Lytechinus pictus: one gene and its partner. The protein of the gene in region 2 interacts with the protein of the main gene of each other region in a pairwise test. Links are inferred from orthologs where the notes say so. Each region holds a gene or a part of one and is shown on either strand. Other genes may lie near its edges.

The links.
Region 1: the proteins of EKC/KEOPS complex subunit Tp53rkb-like (region 2) and EKC/KEOPS complex subunit TPRKB-like interact in binary tests that used the Homo sapiens proteins (3 or more experiments, as listed by UniProt). The link is inferred for Lytechinus pictus from reciprocal best matches to the Homo sapiens genes TP53RK and TPRKB.

The regions. Positions count from the first base shown.
Region 1 is NC_087247.1:45,960,783-45,977,168, forward strand, and holds EKC/KEOPS complex subunit TPRKB-like, read left to right. Parts: upstream 1-7,907; 5' UTR 7,908-8,163; exon of another isoform or gene 8,164-8,181; intron 8,182-10,012; 5' UTR 10,013-10,118; coding exon 10,119-10,289; intron 10,290-10,995; coding exon 10,996-11,169; intron 11,170-11,656; coding exon 11,657-11,743; 3' UTR 11,744-13,580; downstream 13,581-16,386. Other genes in the region: methylglutaconyl-CoA hydratase, mitochondrial-like, read right to left, coding at 960-1,027, 7,677-7,830. UniProt on the Homo sapiens protein: Component of the EKC/KEOPS complex that is required for the formation of a threonylcarbamoyl group on adenosine at position 37 (t(6)A37) in tRNAs that read codons beginning with adenine.
Region 2 is NC_087246.1:58,199,368-58,215,621, reverse strand, and holds EKC/KEOPS complex subunit Tp53rkb-like, read right to left. Parts: upstream 8,190-16,254; 5' UTR 7,987-8,189; intron 6,380-7,986; 5' UTR 6,336-6,379; coding exon 6,095-6,335; intron 5,246-6,094; coding exon 4,761-5,245; 3' UTR 762-4,760; downstream 1-761.

The DNA of each region.
Region 1 (16,386 bases), on a different chromosome or scaffold from region 2:
AATGATGTATTTCTTACCATCATAAAAGACCAAAAATAGTAGGGGGGACATTTGATATTGTGTCCCCCCTACTATTTTGAGTAGGGGGGACACGTCCCCCCTGTCCCCCCTGGGATTTCCGCCCATGATGATGGCGATTCCTCAAATAATCTGAACAAGGCTAAACTTCGTTGACCCTAAGTGACCTTTAACCTTATTCATGTAACCTGAAACTCAGGCAGGATCTTCGGTGATACACTATTTCCCTTATGTATAAGTTTTATGAACTAGATCCATATACTTTCGAAGTTATGACAACATTTCAAAAACTTAACCTTGGTTAAGATTTCGATATTGATTCCCCCAACATGGTCTTATTAGTTCATTGACCCTAAATGACCTTTGACCTTGGTCATGTGACATGAAACTCAGGCAGGATGTTCAGTAATACTTGATTACTCAAATGTCCAAGTTTCATCAACTAGGTCCATATACTTTCTAAGTTATGATGACATTTCAAAAACTTAACCTTAGTTAAGATTTCAATGTTGAAGACGCCGCCGCCGTCACCGTTGGAAAAGCGGCACATACAGTCTCACTCTGCTATGCAGGCAAAACAAAAATCACCATGGTTGACATCTTAAGGATTTAATTACCATGATCATCTAACCATCCTCTGCTAGTTAAACTTTATGGCAATGACAAAAAACACTAGTTACTATTTTGCTTGTTTGTTACAAATTCTAGGAAACAAGGCGACAGTACATCCTGTGTGTGTAAAACAAATTGTGAGGTTTTCAGGAGTGGAGACCGTAACGATTATGGAAGATAAAGGGATCAATTTCTCATCTACATCTACTATTAGATCGACTGAACCTTTCTATTATATAACAAGAGATTTTAACAAGTTTACATTGAGTAGAACAATATCTGCCAAGAAATGGACTAAGAATTCATATATAAAGAAATTCAGGACTTACTAGATTAAGAAGATTTCTGCTGATCGCATTTTTGTTTGCAGGTCTGTTCATTCCAAATACAACAATCCCTTGAAAAAAAGAAGAAGTAGAAATTCCATTCTCAAATCTAAACATCCATAGTACATCATGACTTTGGGAGAGGAGAGTGGGGTGGGGGTAGGGTTTCAATGACTATAAACTGTTAAACTGTCCCTTTAGCTCTGTCAAGTAACCTGGATACATTTATGCTTGAAAAAGAAAAGCTTCCAATATGATTACAAGACTTGATCTACATTCACTAGTCTACAAGTAGTGGGTCTAGTTCTCAGATGGTCTTACACCACTTGGGTAAAACTCATTTGGTCAAGCTTGATCCACTTAGCCATATTCTCTTCATTTAGTCCCATGTCTAGTTGGTCAAATTTCCACTTTGTCTACTTTTTCATATGATTATGAAGTCTGGTTTATAGTTTAAAGCAGGGTTGTTGATTTTTTTTATTAAAAAAAAAAAAAAAAAAATCAGATTTTTTTTTATTTAAATCGGATTTTTATGATTTAAATCAGATTTTTTTTTTTTTTTCCAACGAAAAACAATGGTCACACTTAACAAGTTTTAAACTATATTTAAACTGTTTTACACCAATAATAGTGGTCAAGTAGTCTTTTGAACATTGTGTATTGTACTATTTGACACAATAATCCACTTATATACAGGTAATTTTTTTTAATTTTTTTAAAACTTTTTTGGAGTGCTTCTCTAAATGATAACACTTTAAAGCATTTTTTGCTCTGTTTCATTTCTATATTCCCATAGACATGTTAGCATACACGTGAGAACATGCAACTCAGATTTTTAAAACTGAACACAATGTTAACCAATGCCTTTAAGCCATTGTAAAGCTTTATCATATTAAGACTTGTTTCCACAGAAATAGGGTTTGCAACTCTAGAGCTACATCTGGTATACAAAGCATTCGCAAGTCACAACTGTACGTTAACATCTAATTTGAATGTAATATTTAACCAGATTTGCAATAGGCACTTCCTGATATGCTTGTAACAAAATACACATTTTATATTTTCATTACAGTGTAACCTCAGTTCCAAGTAAAACTTCAATAAATTTTGTTGCAAGATGCAGGATAAGCACCACTGTCCACCACATCATTGATGTGCTGTTTTTTTTCAAACTATTAGTGAACAAGCAAGCACAGCAGTTGTATTGCTGCATACAGTAACACTTGCCCAGCAACTTTCCCATTTTTAAATTCTTACTTATTAAGTATACATGTGTACTTTGAAATTGTGTAATTGAATGTATGGGTATTGATAAGAAAATACACAAGCATGCAAATATACATGTAATTCTTATCAAATGTACACATATGCCTTCAACTTAAGTAATTGAAAGAAACATGGGTATTAATAGTAACAAGAAGGAGGTACATACAAGTAGTTCAGCTGTTTTGTAAAAGTATCCAAGTTGTGGACTTTGAGCACCTTTGTAGATTTTATATATTATTTCATTGAAGATTTAACAGTTTGGTGTACATACAGAGAGTTATTTATCATTACTTCGTTAGAAACTTGTTGTTTTCATCAGTTTTGCTTGTTTTACAATTTGAAAATAAAACAGTGGTGTCAAATCAGACTCCATGAGGGTGTATCATTCTTTTAAAGTATCTCTAAAGCATGTGGAACAGAAATGAAAATGATTACATTGAAAGTATCTGTTAAGAAGAAGAGAAAATAGAGAAAACTAATTTTTTTCATAAAAGTTAATTTAAATCAGTGATTTTTTTGAAAAAAAATCAAGTGATTTAAATCGCGATTTAAATCATGATTTAAATCGACATGATTTAAATCAAACAACCCTGGTTTAAAGGTCAAGTCCACCCAAGAAAAATGCTGATTTGAATAAATAGAGAAAAATCAAACGAGCAAAACACTGAAAATTTCATCGAAATCGGATGTAAAATAAGAAAGTTATGACATTTTAAAGTTTTGCTTATTTTTCACAAACCAGTGATATGCACAACTCAAATGAGACAGTCGATGATGTCCCTCACTCACTATTTCTTTTGTTTTTTATTGTTTGAATTATATATTTCATTTTTTATAGATTTGACAATAAGGACCAGCTTGACTGAATCATATAGTATAAAACAATGCTCATTCCACATGTTCAGGGAGGAATTAATCTTTGTTTCACTTGACAATGAGGAGAAAAATAGAATATTCCGTATTTCATATGATAAAATATAAAAGAAATAGTGAGTGGATGACGTCATCAGTCTCATTTGCATACCCACCAGGATGTGCATATAACTGTTTTGTGAAATTAAGCAAAACTTTAAAATGTCATAACTTTCTTATTTTACATCCGATTTTGATGAAATTTTCAGTGTTATGCTAATTGGATTTTTCTCTTTTTATTCAAATCAACTTTTTGTTTGGGTGGACTTGTCCTTTAAAGACCAAGAAGACAAAATGGGTATAGCCTACCTAGAGGTTTGAAATTAGAAAAAAAAAATTATTGGTCATACAGGCCAAATGGAAAGTAGAAAAAATATTCTTCAATTTTCCCAAAAAAATTTAATACTTTCTTAGTATAAGGGTTTGGCAAATATCCGAGGGGGGGGGGCGTACTTAGTATAAATGTATATCTATGTGCTACGATTGAAACCCCCATTTTCAGCCTAAATTTCTGGTCTAGAGCATCAATTCAGAAAGCCACAGATATTCCTATTTTTTCCCGCTCCGGAGACCCTCAAATTTGTGATTTCTCATTTCAATGCACGCCCTTCATGAAATCTATTGAGCCTGTCGGAGCGGCAAGCTCGATCGGTGCAGAGCCATAGCGGCGGGCTCCCGAAGCTCCCCGCACGCCCGCAGCTAGCTTGTTCTAGCCCGACATGAATCTAGCAAGACGCTCGCACATTTTTTTACATAGACGTTATCAATTACACCTACGATCAAAAGAATTCTGGAGACCCCCCCTTCTTTATGTTATGTGGTCAGTTCCAGAGAATTGCATTTTTAGCAATCGTTGATCCAAGAGCCGTTCAGGAGACCCCCGTTTTTAGACCAAGATTTAGTTCCAAAGCCCCATATTTTCGACTTTGGCGCAGCACATAGGTATTATGTTATAATTCAAGTAAAAAAAATTGTGACAACAATTAGCGATGAGAGAAAATATAACCTGGAAGTCGGATCTTGTGAATATTATAAGGTGCTCAAGTATTTTTATTCATATTTTTTCAGGAATATATATTCTAGATAGATCTATACAAGCAACAAGATGATCTCTGACTCTGTAATAAAATGGATTATTGTTAATATGGACCTCAAAGTATACGATCATAAGTTATATACAATGATTTTTAATGAGGTAATACTAAGTTTCGCGATAAGTCATTTTTATTTTAAAAAAAAAGTGTTTCTAGAAATGAAAACTGATAGAATACTTCTAGTTCTTACGAATTTAACATGGCGATAGATAGATTTAATCTAGATAGATCTAACAAGTTAGTATTCGAGATGTAGACCCGGGGGGGGGGGGGGGGGGTGGAGGCCACTTCCATTGTAGAGTGGATATATATACCAGGCACGACCAAAGAAGTGCATCAAAAGGATCTCTTTTTCAAGACTGGGCACGTTACGTACGTAATAAGGGTGTCAAAAACACTAAAATACTGAAAAAAGGGTATATACTTCGCTAGGAAAGCTACATGTTTACGGTCAAATTTGGGAGGGAATTTATATATGTAGGCCGGCCTACTTTTCGCCCCAACACTTTGTCGTGTCCGATTTGAGCGAGGTGGAGCGGTACCAAACCCAATATAACTTATGTAAATAAAGGAAAATGCTGACGTCTGTGACATAACAATTTAAATATCGCTGTAGACCTAAATCTACTTGTTGAGGTGTACACTTTAGGGATCAAGGGTAACTTTTTTTTCTAATACAAGCCTAATAATTAAGTGCATTTTCAAATTAATTACTCATTTAAGGCGGTGCTGCACCATCCCGAGTTTGCTCAATCTCGAGATTTTAGCCCGATCGGCCCTCTTCGCGATTAATCTCGAGATTCAAGAAACCCCGTCTCCACCATCGCAAGAAGAGCGATTCCTGCTCGAGCGAGGCAACAAGCCCAATATTCCGAGCATGCGCACTTTCGGATCTTGGAGTTTCAACGGCCCGCGCTTTTGAATAACTTCCCGCGATATGCAATCAAATACATGTAGGCTACTCCTTTCTCTAGCACTTTCGCCGAATTCGACAAGTGTTATGCAACAATCCTCTCAGCTCCGTCAGCCGCGCTCAGCGAGTGAAGAAGTGATGTATTCTTCGTTTAATATGATGGCGGAGAAGGAGGCAACGACAGAGAGAGAGAGGGAGAGAGAAAAGGAGGAGGAAAGAATGCTATTTGCTCACATTTTGCAAAGGCCATTAAGACGACACTGCTGTCAGTGTTGTTATCGACTATGAACATCGTCGATAAATGAGCGCCTCCCCCATATCCATAGGTCTGGTCTCTCCCAAAATCCATTCACTGTTGGGACACCATCGTTGCTGATTGGGGAATTGATGAACGCTATTCGCGATAATGTCTATTCGCGTGTATAAAATAGACTTTCGCACGTGTTTTTGTTTTGACCAAGGCGGAAGTGGAACGCGAATTGCATTATGGACTGACGTCATGAATAAATTACCCCGAGTCCAATCTCGAGTGCGTCTGCACCTTCGAATTAGCGGGATAATTCGTAAAATAGCGCGCTATTTTGCAAATAAACCCGAGTTGACTTGGGATTGCAATCTCGAGATTAATCCTACGAACTAGCGCGATAATTGCGTCTCCACTGCAAACAATCTCGAGATTTTTCAGATCGGGATAATTTGCCGGATCAGAAATAGCGCGCTAATTTGAAAACTCGGGATGGTGCAGACGGCCCTTTAGAGTACTTTTCGAAACCCCATGGTCGTGCCTGATATCCACTTGTCAATGGAAGTGCCCCCCCCCGCACGTAGACCCTAATTAAAGTTAGATTCTTTGATTAATTTTGGTCACTTGGACCAACTTTAGGCGTGCTGTATTATTGCCAGATTTTTAAAATAATTTTTGTTAAAAATCTAACTTGAAAATTCCAGGAAATGTCTATGAATTTCAGGAAATTTGGGATTTAGTTTCGGGAAATTTGTTTTAACTGTTGTTAGATCTGTGGTCTGGAAACACTGTCCTACTACCACCCAAGGGTTCATTACATGCCGCCGCGCACAGAAAAATCAAGCCATAGAAGTCGTGTGTTGTCAGTAGAGGCGCACGGCCAATATTGGAGACTGTCTCCAATGTGGGAGATATCTCCAATATCAGAGACTTTTGTAAAGAATTTGGGTATCCAATTTCAGAGACAGTCTCCAGTTTTGGAGACCAATTTCCTTTGTTTACATTTGCTGCAAAAGGATTACCTTGGCGGCAAATAAAAATGTGATAAGCAGATTCCTCATGAAAAATTACCCCTTTTCACCGTCTCCTTTAAAAATTCACCGTCTACTTTTGTTTTGATAAGGATTTTTGTTGTCAATCACACACAAAACAAATGGGCTTCTGACCTCAGTGAGACAAAATTTTGGGTGGAAAAAATCATGCTTTTGTTGGTGTTGTTTCTTTTGTCCTTTTGCAAAGCAAGTCTCCAATGTGGGAGATTGTCTCCCCTATTGGAGAGAGTCTCCCATATTGGCCGTGCGCCTCTACTGGTTGTGGACCCTAGAAGTGAGATCCCAGCACACGCGACCCACTAGTTAGAAATCCACTGCCAAACGCGGTTCGTGGTGCGAGGTTAGTATACTAATACTAACCTCGCAATACGTGCGAGTGTCCTACTACTAACGTTAGTACTACTATAGCTCTGTAAAGAGGACTGTACTCAACGGAAGAAGAAGTTAGTGTCCATACCAGAGGTCACAGTAAACAATTGTTCATACCAAGGACAAAGACCCAGAAATATAGGAATTCTTTTTATGTTAGAATACGTAAGACATGGAATAGCCTAAATAATGAAGTTGTCACTGCCCCAAGTGTGCACAGTTTTGAAGCTGCCCTGCCCTGGAAAAATGAGCCAATAAAATATGACTACGAAAGCCTTGTTCCCGGAAGTGAGCCAGCCATCTTGAGGAGGAAAAACCTAGAACTGAATACAGAGGCATAACATGCCTACATTCAGAAACTTCCCTAGGCCTAGGTATCCCTTCTAATACTAATAGGTTAACATGAACCGGTACATACAGTATACTACAGTCAGATGTGATCGCTCCCCCTCATCTCAGACAGTAGTAGTACTACTACTAGTAGTAGTAGACTGTAATTTTAGATTCAGAATACGAATTTGGTCAATTAGCATGATTAGCGCTCCATTATTTGGGAGGACTTACGAGGAAAGTTATGAATACCCCCCCCCCCCCCGCCCTGTATGCCACTGCACTGCATTGCATTGCATTCACCCATATATGACCATGGCCATGCCCCACCCACACTCCAGTCACAATCGACTCCATCATTCACAAGCCGGCTAGTCACACACAAAGTCCGAACCCGGCGCGTGAGCGACGGCTATGATTCGGGGCCCAGGCCAGCCGGCCGGCCGGGTACGGTGGAAAGGTCGGCCAGCCGGTAGCATGGTTACAATACAGTCGGCAGCAGCAGACACGCCACTAGCCTCACTTAATAGTAAAACACACCTCCATCATCCAAATAGCTGACTTTGAGATCATCTGCAGGAGAGCTAAATGTTCGAGCTACAGGTACCAACAGCTGCCTGGTAGTCAAAATCTTAGAATTTATACCAGTGAACACACCGGCGTAGCGGATCAGTTTTGTCAGGTGAGAAGCCATTTTTCTTTAAAGCACGCATGCAGCTTGTGCACGTGTGTACCGGTAGGTGCTGGTGGTGCTGCCCGCTCGTTCCCGATGCAAATGCGATCGACAACGGCGGCCAGGCCGCGCCGGCAAGCTAGCTAAGCTACCGCTCGGCTATACTAAATAGCTTAATAATATTTAAGCATTTGGTATAGACTATAGGCTAGATATGGCTATCTGAAGCCGGGCGGGAGTTCCCCGTATTTCTGTGTTAATGTTGTTGTTGTTAACATCAATCTTGAAAAAGGAAGTTCATCTTGACATTGAAAATCATGACCATGAATGCATGATGACAATGTCAATGAGTTTGTACCGGTAGTAGAGTAGAACTAAAAACAGAAAATTGGTGAAGGTTCATCATAACAGACTAATACAAATTTTTAAAAATGTTTGTGACATGACATCGACATCGTAGGCTTAAGATTAGGAACATGTTGTAACACATATGTCATCTAAGTTAGATTCTAAGTTAGATAAGTCATTAAGTGATTCTCAAGTTTATGTTACATCACAAAATCTATGTAGGATGTGTATACATGAAATAAAACTGGTCACCATTTCATGCAATTTCATAATTCATTTTTTTTATGATGTTCATGCGTATCGGTACATTTTATATAATTTATCTCCTCTCCTCTCCTCTCCTCTCCTCTCCTCTCCTCTCCTCTCCTCTCCTCTCCTCTCCTCTCCTCTCCTCTCCTCTCCTCTCCTCTCCTCTCCCCTCCCCTCCCCTCCCCTCCCCTCCCCTCCCCTCCCCTCCCCTCCCCTCCCCTCCCCTCCCCTCCCCTCCCCTCCCCTCCCCTCCCCTCCCCTCCCCTCCCCTCCCCTCCCCTCCCCTCCCCTCCCCTCCCCTCCCCTCCCCTCCCCTCCCCTCCCCTCCCCTCCCCTCCCCTCCCCTCCCCTCCCCTCCCCTCCCCTCGACTTTTGCTAAGATGAGGGTTTGACCAAATTGTTTGACCCATTGACAATGAGCTGTAACATCCTAATAACCTCCTCATGTACGTAGATCCCCTCTGTTCTGTTTGTACAACCCTCGTCAGCAGGGAAAGGGGTGTTAGAGTTTGATCCCCTCCCCTTTTTAGGCAGCCCAAGAGGGTAGGCTAAAATCCCCTACACCCCCCCTACATTGTAGATCACCATTGTAAATAGCTGAATCAATCTGGCCAGAGTGTCGGGGTGGAAATTGAGAGTGACTTGTTTAATTTGGATTAAAATGTCTGTAAAGCTATGCATAAGAAAGTAATATGAAAAAGTAAAATGGTGAACTTATCTGCAAATATTTCCAAATTTTAGTAAAATATGATTGTATTGAATTTTATTACATGATTAGAAAATTTGAAATAAGATATAATAGCATGTAAACAAAATACTTTTAACACTTGGGTCAATGGTCTCTGAAAGCAAGATGATTCATACATGTAGTTGGGCATGATAATTTTTTAAATATATACAAATAGTATGAAGTATATGTATGATTAGAATTCTATAATGAAGTATACATGTAAGTCAAAGAGGATTGCATTTCCTAGGTGAACATCACACATTGGAGTTCAAGACGAAAATTCCACTCAGTCCAAAGCCGATCTCTATTTAAAACCTGTACCAGTGATTAGAACCAATCTTTGTCAAGTGTGATGGCAGTGTATACACCTATCTCCATCCACAACCCATCTCTCCCTAGGGAGGGATTATTTAGATCAGTGATGAGGATGGCCTTGAGTGGGATGTGTAGAAATATTGTTCTTCAGCAAGTAACAATATTTCTATGCATCCCACGGAAATTGGTCATCCAATATTATAATTATTTAGATACCCCAACAAAGCTAAGCATAAATTAATGAAGCAAAAAAAAAAGTTGTTACTCAGCATTTGATGTCAATCCTGTAAATCATGAGCATGGCGACTGTAAAGAGTATTGTCATTTTCTTAAAAGAAATATGTGTAAAGATGCGCTAGCGTATAGTGCAAGTGCATTTGAATTAAATAAATTGACGCAATCTTGCTCCTTTGCCACACCTGGCAACTAATGCGCAATGCAATATCATTGTGACGTAACAATAGCTTTATGCGCACAATCGGTTATTAACCAATGATAATCTCGTAGGCGGGGCAAAATATTCATTCATCCAATATGGAAAATATTGAATGGTTTTCATAGGCATACACGTTAAAAATCAGTTTTAAAATATTTTGTCTCTTTGAAACAACATCGCAAGACGTCAAAAAATATCTGTGCCTCTAAAACCCTGCATCTAAATAATGATATGAAATATATGTACATTCATAAAGTGTATTTTTCTCCCTTGATGCAGCTGGTCAGCCCATTTCAGATAATGGTAGCAGTGAATAAGGCACTCCATGCACATGCCACTGGCCATGCAAAAACCAGGACTGTTAATTCTGAAATCATCTATAGCCTGTCTCCATCCACAAATGTAAGCTTTTGGGTTTTTTTTCTTTCAAAGAATGATTTCAACTTTAATTTGCTCTATTTCACTTATTTAAAATTGTTTACTAGTATTGCTTATAATTATATATTTATTTAAGTAATTAATTTATTTACTAAGTTATTTATTCCATCTATTCATTATTTATCAATTATTTATTATTATGAAAAAATATTGTAGAAGAGAACATATTTAGTTATGTTTTTATTTTTTTTATTTTCTTCCTTTTATGGGGCTTCTAACTGGATATTGGCGTATATATATAATAGGCTTTTCTAATGGGTTAGTAAACTACACCAATAATGCTAAATTTGTTTGAAAGTAATATGGTATACACATTAATACAAAATAACGTAGTTGATTAATTTGTTTGCATACTTTGCTTTGTTGATAGGCATATTTCTTACAAAGGATATAGAATTAAAATGTCATTCAGGAATCTATCTTTCAAGAATTTTGCAATGGGGACATATCAGTGCTAGGTTTTGCTCCTAATGAATCATCAATAGCAAAAGGTGATAGTACATAATCATGTAAGTTAGTGCCTACATTATTTAAAACTTGGACAGTATTTACTGCTATGTAAGAAGCAGAATATTCTTGAATATTCTTATACATATCGCTTAAGTATTTGCAAATAAGATCTACTGTCATATCATTCAAGTATATTTATTGATCTCTTAATTGTTTACAGATCAGTGAATCCTTCAAGGTTTTTGCAATGGGATCAACTGACACATCAGTGGCAGTGGTTGTTTTAAATGATCCTGATCAAACCAACCTGAAGTCAATTGCTGCAAAGATTGAAGGAGTTTGTGTTCCTCTATCTCAACTCTCCATGCATACAGATGAAATCATGATCAAGAAGGTATTTGCACATAAAAACATTCCTTTGTGATATTCATTGACCTGAAGAAGACAAATCTGTGTAATTGCCCAGAATCCTCCAGTTTGCCCCCCCCAAAAAAAAAAAAAACACACATGAAAAATTGAACTCGGGGCTTAATTCTGAAAATAATCACAGGGAGATCAAGGATTTAATATTTGGGGGAATCGGAGAGGGGGCACAGATTATTATCCCAAATTGCCTGTCTCCCAATTTGTTTTGCAGTTGAACAGTGTAATTCATGAAGACAATAGCTTCAAAAGGTGCTGAACAGTTACATCCCTACCAACACTATACATGTATGTACTGTCTGTCAGAGAAAAAGAATATATTTTACTTAAACATAGTATTATTAATTATTAATTGTATTTTGCTTATTAAAAGCAGGGTGAGAAAATCAAACTTCATGATGTTGGATGGAAAATAATTCAAACAATTCAAACATTCTATTTTATCCCAATATTTACAGAAATACTCCATCAGTAAACCAGAACTTTCCGTAGGATCCCTAGAAGATGCTGTAATCTGCAAAATGGCAACAAGTGATGTTTCCTGACCAGTCAGGTGATTTTCTTGTGGACAAATAGACTCTCTTACAAGGAAAGCCGATTTGAAGGACACCATTATTATGGAATGCAAAGTGCTGTGGCCTGTGGATGACTTGATGGATTCTCTTAATATGATTCTTCAGACAGTGAGATGTTTTTAATTAAACAAGGGTGAATGTTAAGCACTTGAGGGTGCCAAGTCTGCGGACTTCGCTTTTAATCTCGGGCAACAGCTTACAATACCACTGCATCATCAACTGAACCAGTGTACTACTAGTATTATAGAAGAGTTCTTGAATCATCAAGAGTGTTGTAAGCATAATAGATTGAAGACATTTGATGTATCAAAGTTTCATGTCTTTCAAACCATGATATTTATTGAAGACTTAGAAACGTCTTGTTGAGGAGGTATCAGGAAGCTGTCTCTGATATACATGTACTGTATGTTGCTCCTAATAGCAAAAGGCTTGATACATTTAAGTGTATATGATTCAGAGAAAAAAAATGTAGCCTATTATGTTACAAAATGTTAGGCGGCAAGTTTGGTACAATGAAATATGTTCTAATCCCCAAAGGTCTAAAACATTGGCGAATCAACCAGGTAAATATTTTTCAAAATGTTCTTTGCAGCAGACAACTATCCCCCATTGGGGGTCACATTCCTCATATTAGGCAATGGTACTCCAATAGTTATTATAAATTCATGTCCAATTTGTTGGTCAAGAGCAGCTACATGGATGTAAAAACTATACCCCCCCAAAAAAAAAAAAGGATTTATAGAGTAAAAATTATTGAGCGCTTGGAGTGTTGTGTCCGATAGATATCAGTGCAATTTAAAAAAGCCTACTGATCATTACACAACATGGATTATGCTATAAGAAGTGAAGTCTAATTGCCACACAGAGTCTCTGCATACAATGGGTGCATTTTACAGTTGAAGGCACTGAAAGACCCAGAACGGACCCAAATGTGAAATTGAAAAATCATACACCAATTGAAAGCTTAAACTACTAAGCAAGCAATGTAAGCTTTCATGCATATACACCGCTTGTAACCAGCTGAGTATTTTGCTTTAAAATAGATCCAATTATCAAGCTTCTAAAATGGGCTTTTTTGTGTGCTTTTTACGGCCTCAAGAACTTGATGTCATGTAGTAATAGAATCGTTGTGATTCCATAGGTTTGTACACAGACAACCTCAATAGCCAAGCAAGGAAATCTGAGTAACTCTGTTCTTTTTCATTAAAAAAAAAATGTGAAAATGATGGATCCTATTGCTGATTGGTCATCATACTGCAGTTCTAGGTAGCATTCTTTGACTCGCCAAAACTATATATAAAAATCATGAATTTATTCACAAATCTCATGTGCATTTAGACTGATAAAGTGAAAGATTGCTACATGTAGGGGGTGTGTTTTTTTTTAAATATGTTTACAAAGTTATATATGAGTTTATGCATGACTGGGACATATTTAGGTGTTAAGTCAGCTGTTAAAGGGTGCAGTATTTACATGCAGCATAAGAAAGGGTCACCAGTTGTGCATAAAGTCATTTTTATGTATGATGACAACAAAACTTAATGAAACCCTTACTTTGTGTAAAAATACACTATTCCCTTGAAGAGTTGGGTGATATTGTAAATGAATGATGGGATGAATTAAATGCAGGGTGATACACATTTATCATGGCAATGATGATATTTATTGTCTATGTCATGCTGAAGTAGTTATGCATCAGATAAAAAGATAGCAAGTCAAGTAATTGTCAATTGGAAGAGAATAAGCTAAATTCTGTATTAAGCAAGTCTACATGTAAATAAACCCAGAAAAATATAGAATAAACCAATATTAGCATGAATATGTGTTTGTTATCTGAATGGTTGAATTTGACAAAATTTGTGTGAGAGTGAAAGGGAGCTTCATGTGCTTGTATGTATGAATGCATATGTTCACTGTTGTATTATTGAATTAATCTACGGTATCCCTCTTTCAATTTATCTATTTTGCTTTCAAACTTGCACATGTATTTGCATTTTATCTCCATCTCTTTTTTCTGGTTTTTCCACTTGTAAAAGGGGAAGTTCACCCTGAAGAAAAGTTAACTAAAAATAGTAGGAAAAAAATATAGGTGGTTTGAGGAGAATAAATTATAACTGGGTTCCAAAAGAAACTTATCAAACTTCACAATCGCACAATACAAATTCCACTCAGTCAAAAATGAACTAATTTTGACACAGGCTAGCTTCAATAATCTTAACTCAGCACATGTCAATAATTAAAAGATTGGTTGAATAACAAAGAGGCTGTAGCCCCTCAATTCAATAGGTTCCGGAATCCTAAGTCACAAAATGGCAAAAGTAAGACCAATGAAAATGAGATGGGATTAAACCAAATGGTAATTATTGATTGATATTGAGTCCATTCATGCATTATGCTTCTTTGACCTAAATACATATAGGTGCGTTTAATGCTAATTTTAACCTACTGTAACTTCTCAGTTACTGAGGCAATTAATTAAACATGCCGATGGTCATACTGTGAACTTTAATAAACTGGTAAATTTGTTTAATCCCATCTCATTATCTTTCTTTTACCATTTTGTGACTTTGGATTCCGGAACCTATTAATTTGAAGGGGCTACAGCCTCTTTGTGATTAAACCAATTTCTTAATTATCGACATGTGCTTAGTAAAGATTATTGAAGCTAGCCTTTGTCAAAATTCTGTTCATTTTGACTGAATGTAATTTGTATAGTGCGCTTGTTAAGTTTGATAAGTTTAGATTAAGAAAGTTATTAGAATTTTAAGTTTGGCATTTGTGAATTCATATACAAGCAGCTGCCCCATACAATGTATGTTATGTAATATAAAATGCATAAATTTTGATATTTTTAATGGTTTGTGATGACCTTTTTTTCTGGGGGGGGGGGGGAGGACAGGTGTGAATTAGTTTGAAGGGGCTACAGCCTCTTTGTGATTAAACTAATTTCTTAATTATCGACATGTGCTTAGTAAAGATTATTGAAGCTAGCCTTTGTCAAAATCTGTTCATTTTGACTGAGTGGAATTTGTATAGTGCGCTTCTTAAGTTTGATAGGTTTAGATTAAGAAAGTTATTAGAATTTTAAGTTTAGCATTTGTGAATTCATATACAAGCAGCTGCCCAATACAATGTATGTTGTACTTGGTTATGTAATATAAAATGCATAAATTTTGATATTTTTTATGGTTTGTGATGACCTTTTTTTTCTGGGGGGGACAGGTGTGAAATAATTTGTCTATTAGCATAGGCGGATCCAGGGGGCCCAGCCCCCCCCCCCCTATTGGCGGAGCAAAAAAAAGGGGAAAAAAAGAGGGAAAAGAGAGGAGAAAAAGAAAAGGAGGAAGACGAGTGAATAAAATAAGATGAGGGGTAGACTTGGAAAATATAAAGAATCTTTCATGTCACTATATAAAATTTTCGCTCGCGCTCGCATTGCCTGTTAGGTGATTTCATATTTGTTCAATATGGAGTTTAAATATCAAGTTTGGAAGTCAATATACAAAACATATTTCATCTTGGAAATCAAACTTTCAATATTTTGTGTGATTTACAAATTGATTTTTAAAAAGTGCTCTGTAAAAATGTCAGTTTTATGATGTGAATATTAACATTTTCTGCTCGCGCTGCGTGCTCGAAAATTTTGATGTATCACGTACCTATCATTTTCGTGTATTCCATAAAGTTTTCAAAATATCCCTTCTCAGGTCTGATTGTCAAGACGTATCAGCTAGCACTGCACGCTCGCATTTTGATTTGTGAGTTATGTATGTCTCAATATTGACTATACAACAAACTACTTAAAATCCCCTTTTCATGACTGTATAAAAAATTTATGCTCGCAATTTGCACTCGCATTAATGGTTAAAAATACAATAACTGATGCATCCTATTTATAATTACAAAAGTGCTTGAAATGTCCAGTTTTCAGGCCATAATGTCATCAGATTTTGCGCCCTCATTAGGCATTAATGAATAAGATACTAATTTAATGATTGCATTGTCCCTTTTCTTTCATCTCGCGCTTAGCAAGAAGAATAAGAAGACAGTCCTCATTTTCATATGATGACATGTCCTAAGGATGTCCCGGTCCTATGTCAAAACTCAAAGTAATTATAATGAAAAATATTATAATTTATTTTAGGTCTAAATCTCGATTTTTTTCCGCTTGCGCTCTCATTAATTGTTTAGTTATATAGCTATCTTGTTCACGATTACAAAAAAATTTAAATTGAAAAATTGATTAAAATTTTCCATTCTTTATGTAGAAATGTCAAAAATTTTCAGCTCGCACTTTGCGCTCGCATTATTTGATTGCTGAAATACGTCTTCATGGCTAAGTGCAAGCAGTCCTTATCGATCAGTTTAAAACGTATAAAAAAAATTCTGCTTGCGCTTTGCGCTCGCATTATCAATGTAAGGAAGATCCCCAATTACTCATCATTTTCATGATTTACAAATCATGAATAGAGTGTCTCGTTCAGTACATGTAGGTCTAAATCTCGAAAAAATTCAGCTCGCGCTTTGGCTCGCATTATTTGATTTTTTAAATATTTAACGTATTCATGACTTACTGCATGCAGTTTTTAACAGGTACCTTTTCCATCAGTTCA
Region 2 (16,254 bases):
TGCACCAGAATTGAAATATCTAAATTTTGTTGTTTTAGTTTGTTGGAGTATTCAATACTCCCACAAAACTAAAACAACAAAATTATAATTAAATTCTGACAAACGATATACTTTGTATTCAGATGCTTCTTAAAGGGAGATTATCACCTGTTTTCATGGAGAATTCAACACCATTTGGATATTGATCACCCTGAGTAGAACAAGATGCATGAATAGTAGACAGTATGTAATGCCACTGGAAAATGCCTTATGGTTAACTCATTAAATAACTTCCTGGTCGGATAGTTGCACGAAGCTGAGCAAGCTTGGCTGTAGAATTTCTTGTTGGTACCAAGTTTGCTTACCCCCAAAGATGTCTCTGTTACAGGTATTTCCAATGCTTTTCACAAGAGTCTGGGGTCAGCAAATAACAATCCACTCCCCATGAAAGCGGGTGCCCATCTGATTTGAAGAACAAGAGTTTTTATCTACAGAGATTGTGTTTCAAATAGCTGAGCTGATGGGAATTCAAATGATTGTGAATCTGATTTGGTACCCACTTAAGATTAGTCACCAGTCGTGTGAAAGTCATGTGTAATGTACAAACAGATTCGTGAAACTCCTTCCTCTGAGATAGATTATATGATGTAATGAGACAACTCTAACTTGGTTTTATGTTGACTGTGCCAGGGAGGCATTTTATGTTGAATATTGTGTTGTAAATTGAATTACATACAAAGATAACTTAAATGATACGTGAATAAAGAAAAGTAACCAATTAATTTGAGTTTTCTTGTTAGAGTGGAGGTTATATTTTATCATGAGGACACTTTTGTCACACCATTGAAGCTAAGACAACCCATATAAAAAAAAAGAAGCAGAAACTCCAAATTGTTCAAAATAGAAATCTGAATAAATTGATCTTGGGGCCCAGCAGCCACTGAGCAGTGCCTGATCAATGTTGCCCTATCCCTTAAACTGTTGAACGCCAAACGGGGTAGCAGCAGCAAGCGTTTTTCACCATTTTTAACGTCTTTCCTGTCCTTCCGGTTGTGAGATGGACGCATTACCAACAAAGCCGACAAAAACTGGTTATGCCTGAATTATACCTGAAATAATATATTTTCAATGACATGCAATGCTGCTATTTTTTGTATAGTTCTCAGAACTTTTGATTCAAAGAACATTGTAATAATATAGAATTGAATTAAATATTTAATGCATTTACTTTAAAAAATTGTATTTTACATGGACCAAATATATTATAGACTTTGTGACTACGAAATATAAAGAATTTTGTCATGTCATATTATATTTTAAGTTCGAGAGCCAATATGTAATTGTATACATGTATGCATCTTGTATTTCATTGTCTGTAAATTAATGAATCATGATCATAAATATAATGTAAATCTATGTTAAAATACCCGAATTGTATTATTCATGTGATCATTTGAGGTGTCCAGTATGTATATATGATCAGTGGTATACCAGCCTTTAGCCAATCCACATTAAAAACATTTCTAGTGGAGAATAAATGGCCCAAAATGCATTCAACATGTTTTGATTATTTCCAAATTTCACATTCACCTTAAACTTACATCACACTTTATGATGTACACAGAAAGAAATCACCAAAGGGTTTAAGATAAAGTACAACATACAGGCAATTTGAATGCATGGAATCAGTGATATTGTGTGAGTACTACTGAAATCAATTAATTTCTGATTTGCAAATTCAACCTAGATATTTCTGCAATTAGACATCTTCATTAGAAAGTCTTGTCTTTGATAACTACACATAGAAAAAATGCACTCTTATATTGCACAAGGGTTTCAAGTTATAATTACTTTAAAAGCTGTTGTAGTGAAACATACTACCAAATACTTTTTAAAGTTTCCATCATATCAATTGCAATATTTTCTTACAATTCATCAAACTTTCACCACAAATGTAAAAAAACCTCTAAAACAGGGATTCTCAAACAGCGGCGCGCGCACCACTTGTGGCGCAACGAGCCTTGCGGAGTGGCGCGTGGGAGCCGGTATGAAAAAATTGGGAAAATATGTATATAAATTGATGATTGATGATAATTTTACACAAAGGGAAAAAACAAGTAAGTTATACTTTAAACTTCATTGATTTTATTTTTATTTATTCTAACGTTATGGTTTTTATATGCTTGGTTTATGGACTCATGTGCGACTGTCAATAGTCGGTATGTGCATCATGATATAGGTAGGCCTATACAAATTATCTCTATGATCACAAGTGATCTGATAGCCCCGTTCGTCGGTTGGATATCTATCACGTTTTCAACTATTTTCTACGGCTAGTAATTTCACATTTCCAGATTATGCATTGAAAATTGATGGAATTGCTCAGATGCAGCATTTGAAATGATGACAATAAATACATAATTTAACATTCTTATACTTGACAAGCCATGCTTTTAATCAACAACTTGGACTCCTGGCAAAACACATCATATCGGAAAATGTGGTGACATAAATTATATACAGATATAAAATAAAGTTCTTAATTTGCATATTAATTCGGCATCACGAAAAAATTTTCACAGAAGGAGTTTTAGTCATATTGAAAATCAGAAACTTTGTTTCCAAAGCCGATTATTTAAAATCCAAGGTTGTGAAAGGGAAATGTTGCAAGGTATTGCCTGCTGTGATATGTGCATGCCCTCGTGAACTAGCGGTATCAATGGTATGTTGTGAAAAGTCACTTATCATTTGAAAAATACTAAATCGTGTAGTTTGTTTGCATTTGTGTTTCTTGTATTGATATTAATTAGATCCCCTCTTGGCCATTTAAAAAGCCTCATATTCCGAAGCTTCAAGGGGCTCCGCCCCCTCGAGCCCACCAGGGGCCCTAGCTGGCCCTCAGCAATATTTCGCTCATTAGCACTAGTGGAGCAGTACAGATTCTCAACAAGAAATGTGGAGCACCTCCAAAATGTAATTGAGAATGACTGCTCTTAAACATAAAGATGTCAAATTTTGCTCAAATCACTTTTTTTTTTTTAAATACATGATTGATGGCATTGGTTCACTAACGAATCGCCTATACCATGATGATTCCATCTGTGAAGTGTTTGGTTGTAGTTCAATGGAAATGAAGGTAGTTGCTCCAATGGAAATAAAGGCAGGCAGTAACTCTATTTGAATTAAAAATCACTAATTCATTTAAAGGGATGGTCCAGGCTGGAGATATATCTATCTCAATAAATAGAGTAAAATTCAAAGAGCAAAAGCCTGAAAATTTGATCGAAATCAGATAACAAATAACAAAGTTATTGAATTTTAAAGATTTGCATTATTCCGGTGAAACAGTTCAGGCATGTCTTTATGAATATTCATTAGGTGGGCTGATGATGTCATATCCCCACTTGTTCTTTTGTATTTTATTACATAACAAAAACAGTTGGATTGAAAACTGATTAAGTGCATTAATTATTTATTGCCGCAACTTATTTGATCATAATGGAGACATCATTTACACATGTATGAAAAAATGAAACATTTATGATTTCATGTAATAACATAAGAAAAAGGAAAGTGGAGATGTGACATCAGCCCACCTAATGAATATTCATGATGATGTGCATATAAGTGTTTTCATAAAATATTGATAAACTTTAAAATTAAATAACTTCGTTATTTGTTATCCAATTTTGGTGAAATTTTCAGCATTTTGCTCTGTGAATTTTATTCTATTCATTTAGATATAAATATTTTCAGCCCTGACCATCCCTTTAAATTCAATATTTGCAATCCTTCCAGTCATACATAGCTGTTCAAGCTGAGCAGTCACTAGTTTCTTAAAATCTTGTAAGATTTGGTGAAAAAGGTTCCACCAATACCGTTATGAATTTGGGCTTGGTTTCTATGTGACACATTTAGCCACTCAAGTGGTTTGCCAGCTGGGTGCTCTTAGGCAGTGTACGGAAAATCTATTCATTGCCATTTTAGATTTCAATTTATTTCGAAAGGTTTAGTTATTGTGGTTTACCCTTGGCTGTGATAGTCATTCAATCAGAAGCATATTTATTCATTAAAAGTATGTTTATTCATTCAACAAACTTACTCTCAACTTATTAACCTACATCTAATCATTATTTCATAAAAGTTCTATCCCCATCCTTATCCCTTGTTTTCTGATAAAGGAGCCATTAGTGATTATTGTGGGGGAAAACTTTGTGTCACCACTATTAGCAATCCACCACCCCCAAATCAACAATAAGTCACCTGGAAAGGTTCTCTGTAAATAGCCAAAATCTCTTCATAAGGTAAAAATGTGAATATTAGCTTATCTGAAGAAATATGCTTCTTCACTGTCAAAATTGTAAAGATAAATAGAAGACGAGACACACAAGATTCTTTGACACAACTTTTTCTCTGGATTGCTCACATGTTTCACAAAGATTGTGCAGTGTGCACATCTCATGATAGAGTGAACCCCAAACTTCAAATCTTGTTTTCTCAATCTTTAAAGTCAGTGTCACAGAATTTCTTCTACATTCAATCAAGTACTTCTGCATATTATTGTTGGTATACTTTGAAAAGGAATATCTATCTCACTTTAAAACTTAGGATTTTTTTTTCAAGTTCAAATAAAAATCTCAAAATTAAATTTGGGCTACTTATTGTTGGTTTGGGGTTGACGAGTCACAAACAATTATGATCGGACGTTCTCGAGACTTCTCTCATGTTAACAAAATGAAATATATATGTACAACATGATAAACTGCGGTTGATTATAGCTGCTACCCGACCATCACCCTCTTCCTGCCGCGTTGCCTTACTTCCTCCAACTTCTTCATCACATCTCCAGACTTCTTGTAGTTCTCTGTATAGACATCAAGGACTCTCTTAAACAGCTCCTCAGTGTTTGGGTGTGAGCTTAGAAAAGCCCTCTCCAACACGTACAGATCCACCCCTTTGTCCTCCCACAGATGTGATATCTGGCTGAGTCCAAAATCGATCATGATCAGATGCGATTCCTCATACGGCTGACGTAGAAGCATATTTGAGGTTGTTAGATCACCATGGATGACATCCACACTATGCATAGATGCTAGGGTTGCTCCAATCTTAGACGCTAGTGATACCAGTCTTTCATCGTCGATAGATGCTCCGGAGCTCTGAATCTGCTGGATGTACTCACGGACTGTGAGGGAGTCCTCTACGTATTCCATGTGAATAGAATGAGTCTCATTGTCGAAAAAGTATACCACAGGTGTAGTAATTCCTGTGAATTTGAAAGAGAAGTAGGCACAAAACTAGATATCAATGAAAAACACAAGGCTATGTCTGTACTCTAAATATATCCCTTCCCTGTCTTATCTGGGGTGTAACATAATGAAATAAAATTCATATTTACGATAGATAACTTTTTTGACGCAACTTTTTGCAGTACACTTAAAATTATGTTTGACAATATTTAAAGTTGGTTCAAAGATTCAATCCCTGGTTTGTCCTGTCTCCAAAATAGATCTTAAACATGTCTTATTTCTGACTAATCTCTTATTGATCTGCCTTAATCATATTTGTGTATGTGCAAAAATCATATGTGTGCAATTCTTGTTCAAGCTTAACTTTCTTCTCTCCACCTGCAATAAATACTGGAGCAGATCCAACTGCATAATAAAAATACCAAAGGGAAGACCACAGAGCTAGTTGATGGTCATGTACATCATCTAAATCTTCATTTAGTTAATAAATGTAGAGATTTAAACAATGATGGCTGAAAATGAGAGTTAATAAATGTAGAGATTTAAACAATGATGGCTGAAAATGAGAAATTGTGACTGGAGGTTGGATTGCAAGATTAGGCCTACATGTATGCTATTTTACATAATCATGCCATTGTTCCAAATCAAATTATCCCTTCTCTATATCTGATGATGAAATGAAAATCTTTCAAATAGATAAAATTTTTTGTAAACTTGATATTTGATAAAGATTTATTCTATGAGGTTTGAAAATTAGAAATTGTGACTGTAGGTTGGGTGGCACAAAGTTATATGCTATATTTCACACAATCATGCAATTGTTCCGAATAAGCTAATTGGCCTGATAAGAACATTCTCCCACTCACCAGCCTTCCTACATTTGACAATAGTCCTGACCTCCTGACCAGTTCGTTTGTGTGATAGTTTAGCATCCAGCTTTGGGTGTCTGTAGGCTTTCTTGAATCTCTGCTTCACAATGGAGCTACGACCCATGAAGGTACTCTTGTAAATCCTAGCTTCCGCTCCCTGCTTCAAGAGACTAAGCTTGGAGCTGGCTGGTTGGTCTTCTTCCAGAGTTGATTTGCTAGATGTCACAGCCAATTCCATTTTTAAGGAACTACCCCAGTGATACTTTGAAGGGAAATACGCACCTTTATGTATGAGATGAATGAAAGAAAGACAAATATCATTCATCTCTTGTGACTGAACATACACACGCTTTAGGGATCATGCAACTATTACATGTCTACTGTAGATAAAGGACTAGATATATACAAATAACAGAGTTGTTGGTCTCACAGCCAGCCTTGAGCCCCTCAATTTTTTTTCCAGAACTGTGTATAAAAACATTAAAATTATTATTAAAAAAAAAAATCAACGATCTGCATCTGGTACATTAATGTAAACTTATCTTTGAAAAATCATGAAATCTTAGCTCAAAATCAATAATTCTGATCATCACCAACACAGAAAAGCACATGTGGGACTAGACCAAAAGCTTCGATCTCTGTTATATTGGTTGTTCTGCTGAACTCCGTTGGCTCCACTCACCAATTACAGAGACCGAAGTTCTAACTCGATCTGTACCGGGGGGGGGGCCACTTACATTGACGAGTGGATACCATGCGCGACCAAAAAAACACGTAAAAAGGATGTCTTTTTCAAGATAGGGCATGTTACGTACGGAACGTGATAAGGGTGTCAAAAACACAAAAATAATGAAAAAAAGGGTATCTATTTCGCTAGGAAAGCTACGTGTTTAGGGTCATATTTGCGGGAATGATAAAACAAAATTAAAATGTTTTATTAAGGATGTCCTTTTTGCCCCAGCACTACGTGTTTAGAGTCAGATTTGCGCGAGGTGTAGAAGGTGCATGGGGCCGTACTAAACCAAATGGTGTGTAAAGGTAAAACCGACGACTGACGGACCCATCACTGTACTTGTTTAGGGGTTCATTTCAGGGAATACTTGTCAAGAGTTTCGTTTTTTTTCTTCTAATACTTGTTAAGGGTAGGGTTTCAGACGCCAATACCTACTATTATTAAGGGGTGCATTTTCAGAATTCGGAAAATACGTGTTTAGGGTGCTTTTCGAGACCCCATGGTCGCGCATGGTATCCACTCATCAATGGAAGTGACCCCCCCCCCCCCCCCGGGGATCTGTTCAGGGCCGGACTCAATGGCAATATATGTTTATGTATTAAGTTCGGATAAACCAACGAAGGGGAGTTGCACGACAGCCGAAGAAAGTCATTTTTGTTTGTCCTTTTAAGTTTGTATTTTCCCCGTTTTGGTTCAGGCCAAAATGGAATAATAATTTTTATTTTGGTCCAGTTCTTTTTATATATTTTTATGAAATAAAGACACAAAAAATGAGCCCCGTCGGGGACTTTGCATTGTTAACCCCCTAATGACGGCTGCACGATCGCGAGCCGTCCGTGTACGAGGAGAAATTTAAATAATTATAATAAATTTTAAAATGTTTTTTAAAAACTTCCTCGAAACAGACGGCTGCCAGCTGTCTAATGTGGGACAGTGTATATTATTGCTTCGAAAAATACTTACTAGACATTTGATGAAATTCCGTGCTTATTTTAATCATTTCTCAGCAATTTTCTTGGCATCTAGGCCAGCGCCAGCTGAGCAACTAGTTGAACTTGCCCCGGCTATTTGGCACACATTTTTTTAAATCGTAACGTTACCACAACAATTGCCCCTTATTTTAAAAAGAAATCTCAAATTCTTGGCTTAAATTTACCTGTATTAATCTTGATCTTGAAGTTAAATGACAGACATCAGCTTAAGTTTACTACTGTCGGCTGATTGGAGTCTCCAGCCCGTTCTCGATCGACCTCGTGCGGGTAAATGCAGGCAGCGCAGGCACGTCGGAGACCGTACCAGTCGCAGGTGAGATTTACGCTACATGAGCACACGAGGTCAAATATGACAATAGCAGACGCCATTTGTAGGCTCTTTCGATACTATAATTTTTTAAATACTACTATTGATTTAACGATAATTAAAAATAATTTTTAAAGATTTAATTTATTAATAAAAATGATAAAATAATTTTATTTCGACTATCAATAAAGTAAAATAGTCATTAATAATATTGAAATATTTGTTAATTAAACTATTCCTGACCCTTCCCATCATACAGTTTTTGACGCGATCACGACAACGACACGTAGCACGGCCATCAATTTCTCACTGCATAAACCAAAAAAGAATACAAAATGTCTGTAAATCTGTTCACCGTGATAAACAAATTTTATGATGAATACACGACGAGAACACCACTTAAGTTGAAAATAATTGATGCATACCTGACGTACATTCTGTTGACTGGGGTTGTGCAATTTGTCTACTGTGCACTTGTTGGAACTTTCCCGTTCAACTCTTTCCTCTCGGGATTCATTTCCAGTGTCGGATCCTTCGTGCTCGCCGGTAAGTCCGGGGGAGAACGATTGATGGGGGCCGGGGCCTGGATGGGGGATGGGGACGCTCAGCGTGTTTGGATGTCCGTCAGTCCGGACAGTTAAAAAAAAATGGAAGCATTCTTTTTGTATTTGAATTAAAGTTGTGAATTAAACCCAATTTGACTTTAGTTGGCGTCATCAATCATTGAAATATTGCTTGAGCGAGCCGGTGGCGGTGGATCGTATATGACGCACAGCACACTTTTCATGAATTCAATCATATCAAACACGTCATCATTCAGGCGCGCCGGAACACTTTCAGTTTTGGGGGGGCAAAATCCCGAAGGGGGCACAATACTTTTGACAGCGTGAGATACCGAAGGCGAAGCAATCGAGAGGGTGTGGGACCCCCCCCCCCCCCATGGTAACTAAAAAATAAGGACTTTGTGTAAAAATGGAGTATAAAAGTTGCGTTTCTAAGAGCATTCAAAAATAAATTTCTTGAGAATTAAACATAGAATTCACTACGAATGACTATACTCATAATTTATGAGAACCTATGAGTATGAAATCTACGCGCAAAACGATCGCTTCGGAATGTGGTTTTCATGTCTGATCAATTAAATTACGTATTACGCTTATATTGACTCAAAATACCAGAAATTACATTTTTCATGCAATATCCTTTCAGAAACATTTATTTATGTACATTTACATACACGGACGACGCGAGAGAGCACAATCATCATAAGTTTCAAGTAATTCCTGTCAGAACAAGGAGTGTATTAAGCAGAAGAAGCGTAACAACAGAAACAAAAGAAATTCTAATGAAAGTCTTTTCAAATTCAAAATGTCATACTGTTCTGACGTGACAAACGTCGATAAGCACTTAAATCCCCATTCTATGCAAATCATTTCTGACATCAGCATTGGAGATATAGTCCCTGATTATCATGGGCAATACGTTTCACAAGGCTCGACATTAGCGGTGGCCCGGGGCCACCAAAAATTCACCTCGGGCAACCATTATTGATAAAATGTTAAGTTTTGGTGGCCCGAATCGGGCAACCAATAATTTTCAAAGTAGCGCAATTTTTCTCCCAATTTTGCACGCATTTATCAACTTTCTACAGCTCAAATTGCAAGCCAGTTCGTCATGCGCCTTTTTTGTTGATCTACACACAAATACACACACACACAGTTTGCATATTAGGCCTACAGCTATAGCATACAGTAGCTATTATCCAGCCAGCCGCGCCGGCCGGCTGGCGTGAGCTTTGCATGAAGCCACTGCATACAGCTGTGCTCTAGATCTAGCTCAGCCTATTCAGACTCAGGGAGCTGCGATAAAAAATGTTGCTGCTGAGAAATCTTCCACAGAACTTTGAAAATCTAAGTCAAAGTCACCTTTTACACCAATGAAATGAAATTCTACAGTCTATATTACGAAAATCTGGTGTACCCTGATTATTTGCAAGTATTAAGAAGAGGAATTATGACCTCTCTTTTGACTCAAAAAGACCGATTTCCACATGAATTAATACACATAAAAACACATAGGCAAGTACATCACAGTCCCACGTGTGCATTTGTATGTATGTTGATACTTGATTTCTTTCGAAGCTGTGTATTTTCTAGCCTTAAACAAACAGACAGTTTCTTTCTTTCTTGTTTATAAATGACTTCTTAAACCACTCTTGAGAAAGTAAATACTTTGGGAAGGCATTTCATTGATATGAAATGTGATTTTTTTCCCCAACATTTTGGCAAATATAGGGAAGGACTTTTCTCACACTTTTTTTCCAATATATAGTTTTTGCCGTTTTCTTTTTTTTTCTTTCATTTTTTTTGACAGTGGTTAAACCATTTATACCCCTTCCCATTGAATATGCCTGATTAAAAAATATGTTTCTACTGAAAATAAAATAATACAAACTAAAGGATATAAAAATAGAAATGTGCCATTCCCAAAAGGTAAGTGAAAATTATATGCTTGGCTTTTAATTATATTCCAGTCAGAATAGACTGTTGCCACAGCTGTTAAAAATGTAAGTAATGGCTTCTTAATTTTCCCCTTTTCCCCATTTTTATATTAACTTTGTTTTATTAATTTTTCTTTAATTTTCTTTTCTTTTTTCTCTCTAATTTTTTTCTTTTCTTTTTTTCTTTTTTCCCTGTTCTTTGTTTTTTTCTTTCTTCATTTTCTTTCTTTTGTTTTATTTCACTAATTCCTTTTATTTTTGTTTTCTTTTTGTTATATACTTTTTGAAAATTATTTTCGTTTGTTTCTCCCTTTTATGCATTGTTCTAATTTTGCAGCATATTTTTCTGTGATTTTCTCCTTCTATATGCTGCAAAAGAGAAAACAGAAATAAACTGGATTTGGGGCATGCATAATCTAGGTTTTAGGATTCAAAGAGGAAGGAAGGAAAAACCATTGTTTTGTACATCTATCTGAGTTTGCTAGCTATGCACTATTTATTTACTTTACCATTATCTCTATACAGAGATTTAAAAAAAAGTCCACACAACCTGCGAACAATACAATTCATTTATTCACTTTCAATCATTTCATTTTTACAACGATAGAAACAATTATCAATTAGCAAAGTAAAATAACAGCAAACAAGGTTTACATACAAGATGTATAAAGTGAAAGGAACTTAGTGGTAGTGGCTGCAGAATTAATATTTCAGAAGTTTGTTTTATTCATTTTTAATGTTTCTCTTTATATTTTTCGGGCCACCAAACTTTAATATCGGGCCACCAAAAAAAATTATTTGATGGTTTTGGTGGCCCGAACGGGCCACCACCAAAAAAAGTTAATGTGGAGCCTTGCGTTTCATATTATGTAACTGGAGGAAAAAGAAATATGACAAGCTGAATTGTCTAACAATTTAAAACTTTTCTGAAAATCATGAAAGTTTAAAACATTACTCGATTTATGTGTTTCCGTTTACATGTTTTGTATGGCTGGGAAGCACTTTTGGATGACTCTTTCAAAATCTTCTTTTTTCTTTACATATTGTAAATAATCATGAACTGATTAACAAACTACCGCAGTTCATAATGTACATTATGTAACATTATTTAGAAGAAAACAATTACATTCCAATAGCGGATGTGGTTGACGGTACACCATGTGGAGTTTTCGAAAAAGTGGATAGAAGAAGAAGTGAAATTGATAGGGGAGGAAATGGACAGTTGATAGTCGAGTGATTTTTTGTTTAAATGAGCGTAGTCCTGAAAAAGACAGTAAACCAGAAAAGGGTGAAGAGTTGAAAAGGCTTGAGTAGTTGATAGATGAGTACTCCTGCTCTGCACTCCATTCGCCGACTCAAACTAGAATCTTCTCATTTATCAAGCCTCTTTAACTCTTTAACCTTTTCTGTTTTACAGTCATTTTCAGAACTACACACATTTTCAAGAAATATTACTCTAGGACCTACTCTCAATCTTCCAATTTCTTGTCTATACTCTCAATCTTCCAATTTCTCGCCTATCAATTTTACTTCTTCGCCTATCAATTTTACTTCTTCGGAAGAAGTAAAATTGATAGGCGAGAAATTGGAAGATTGAGAGTAGGTCCTAGAGTAATGTAATATGACGACCTCGAGATGTTATGGTTTCTGGGCTTGACAGCTATGACATAGATTTCATATGTTGCTCTCGTAACTAGCGTTCACGCGCGTTAGTAATATTGGGTCCGGTCTGAGCGTTTCTGGGCGACCGCGCGTTTGTTAGCCGACACAGCCAGCATGCATTGGTGAACCACTTTCAATTTGCCATTCGGTTTTAGTCTGAAAAGTAGTAATTAAAAGGTTAAACGTTATCACACTGTAATAAGATGGAAAAGGGGCTTATCAAAGGTATGTTTCACAGAGGGACATGTTCGTCAAAAGACGCGAGGCTTACTATGATATGTAATTGCCCCGTCGTGTAAATTTTTTCATTTTTGACAATGGAAATGACAATTTTTAGGCAGAAAAGTGCCTTCATCGTTTACTTTTGTCCTTTAATAATAATTTTTCTACTTTTTTGGGGGGCAAAATCTCGTTTTGCCCCCCAAAAATTTTATTTGGGGGGCAAGTGCCCCCCGCATCCGGCGCCCTTGTCATCATTCTCATAGAATTCACCAAACTTTCACCAGAAATACACAATTACCTACAAAATATGTAAAAATTTTGCCAAAATTGTTTTTATTTTTTGCATGTGAAATATTTTGATCACTTTAAAAAGGTATATTACCGAACGTGTGTTTTCTATGAGAAAAGTTGGGAAAAAACAAAATCACTAATGAGCTATTTTTACCATATTTTATATTTTTTTTTATCTAAAAACTTTTGAAAATGTGATTTTGACCATTAATTTTTATCATATTTTTGATCAAGTTTCCTGTGGAAGGATGTTGCAAAGTTTTGAGCGTATGAAATTATTTTCTGACGCATACGATGCGTGTGTTTGGAAATACATGTATAAGGCCAGTTGGTAATACAATCACTCACTATACGTGTGGTTGTAAAGAAGTTGTAATTCAATAAGGCCAGGCTAGAGGCTAATGTTAGATCTAACTCAATTTACTGTTAGACCAAAGCAAAGATACTACAAGTATTTCACTATGCACTCTATGTACTGTCCGATCTTACCCTTGTATCTTTGACCAAAGCCAGCCAATACATGTCGGAGTCGATACAGCCACACACCGTCATGACCGTCTTTGAGAACACCCAACATGGACAATTAAATGAGAGGAGTTATTTGCATCGAGTACTTATGCATACAAATCTGAATCCTGGAAGTATGCATCCACTTGCATGGATAAGTTTGAGACATTCCGGGGGGGGGGGGGGGGGCACTCAAATTATATTTTGATGGGGATGTGCCTCGTGAAACCCTGAAATTGGGGTCTTAGGAACTGACTACATACTGGGTGGTGTGAAAAGCAGGGTCTACGGAACAGGATCGCGGTAATATGTAGGTACATGTACGGTGCACACTAGCGCAGTGCATGGAGGTGCTAGTGGAGGGAGTTGTGAAGCCTTTCGTGCAGCTCTCGCATGCGATGCTTGCTCTGGACAATTTTGGCAAGGCTGTTAGGGTTAGGGTTATTGCAAAGGAATTCAGTCATTAATTTTCCATTCATCCATTTTTTTTTCTGATACAGTATGTCTGAGATTACAAGTCAACCCAGCAAATAAATCCAGTTTTCAGGGAATTTCAACAGAGCGTGCCTTTGCAGATTTCATCTTTGCCAGTGTAATTCTTCATTTAGTAGTCATGAACTTCATTGGCTAGTGCTTAAGCAGGAAGTTTTGTTTTCACAGATTATTTAGAGGTACATAATTTCTCTTTAAGTTTAAAAGTTAAATAATAAATTTATGTGTTTTGTTGTTGTTCATATATACTTTCAAAACCCTATTTGTTATTTTTAACTTTAGATATTTTTTCTTATTTTGCTCAATCCATTCACTTTTCTCAATATTACAAACTACATACATGTATATCTTTTTACCAATGCCAATTGTTAATATTCAACCATGCGCTCAATTCATTTGATTTCTTTATTGTGTTCCTATAGGTTTTTTTTTCAAGGAATCTTGTGTGTTTGTGGATCGCAATATTTTTCTACCCCTTTCTCCTTCACATTTGCTATATTTTTCTTAAGTTTGAAAGAAATTGAACAAGCAATAAGAAAGTTATGGCCGATTTAAAAGCGAGATCCCTAAGCCTAATCCTAAGACGATGTAAATTTCTAATTGACAACTGAGTAAGTAAATTATGACAAGTGTCAATGACAACTTTCCCATTGAACATATACTTTGTTATCAGAGATTTTGGTTTTCACCCAAGTACCTATTTTCCAGGGGCAGTAAGAGAAATATAACACAGGTAGCATTATATTATGTCCTCATGGAAGAAAATAATAATTGGAAGTACATTGTACAAGTTTTGGGGAAAAAATTACATTTAAGACATTTCATGTTTAGGAGTAAAGAGTAGTCCTTCCCTTTACATCTCTATAAAATCACTAATGTGGCCAATTTGAAGCCTCTATATGTAGTGATAACCAATTTTTGTATAACTTTTAAGAATTCACAACTGTTTTGTTTGTCCAATATTGTTCAAACTTACTTGTCTGACTTTTCTATTTCCTAAAAAAAACATTTATTGTCTCGCCTGCATAGCAGAGCGAGACTATAGGCGCCGCTTTTCCGACGGCGGCGGCGTCAACATCAAATCTTAACCTAAGGTTAAGTTTTTGAAATGACATCATAACTTAGAAAGTATATGGACCTAGTTCATGAAACTTAGACATAAGGTTAATCAAGTATTACTGAACATCCTGCCTGAGTTTCAGGTCACATGACTAAGGTCAAAGGTCATTTAGGGTCAATGAACTTAGACCATGTTTGGAGAATTATTTTCAAAATCTTAACCGAAGGTTAAGTTTTTGAAATGACGACCTAGTTCATGAAACTTGGGCATAAAGTTAATCAAGTATTAGCGAACATCTTGCTCGAGTTTCAGGTCACATGACCAAGGTCAAAGGTCATTTAGGGTCAATGAACTTTGGTCAAGTTGGGGGTATTTGTTGAATTACTATCATAACTTTGACAATTTATGGATCTAGTTCATGAAACTTGGACATAAGGTTAATCAAGTATTAGTGAACATCCTTTTTGAGTTACAGGTCACATGACCAAGGTCAAAGGTCATTTAGGGTCAATGAACTTTGGCCAAGTTGGGGGTATTTGTTGAATTACCTTCATAACTTTGAAAATTTATGGATCTAGTTCATGAAACTTGGACATTAGGTTAATCAAGTACCACTGAATATCCTGTGCGAGTTTCAGGTCACATGACCATGGTCAATGGTCATTTAAGGTCAATGAACTTTGGCTGTGTTGGGGGTATTTGTTGAATTACCATCCTAACTCTGAAGTTTATGGATCTATTTCATAAAACTTGGGATATAAGAGTAATCAAGTATCACTGAACATCCCCTGTGAGTTTCAGGTCACAAAACCAAGGTCAACGGTCAGTTAAGGTCAATAAACTTAGGCCATTTTGGGGTAATTGTTGAATTGCCATCATAACTTTGAAAGTTTATGGATAGAGTGAATGAAATGTGGACATGGGTGTAGTTGGCAAGTCTTAAGTCACTGTTCAAATGTCATCTATGGTCAATGAACGTGGTATTATGTCATTATATGAATGGTGTTTTTGTGAATGATTATTTTATAGTAGTTTTCAAAGTTAGCACTGCTGCTATATTAAATCGCGTAATGCAGGCGAGACTGCCAGAGGCGTTCCACTTGTTTGAGTTGGATTCCCCTTCAAGTGGCATGGAAAGACTGCATTATACTTGTTAATTAACATTGAATTTTAAAAGATCAAGCAAAATTTAAGGAGAGAGTTTTGTAAAAAAAAAAAAAAAAACACTAACATTTATTCTGATCATTTCTGGAAGAAGAAAAAAAATCTTTTTTAAAAATGTGTTTGTACAACAGCAAAAAACAAACAAACAATAACATGTTATATCTGTAGTAGTGATACACCATTATTTTATTCATTAATGATAACATTTGTGTTGTTTTTGTTTCCCT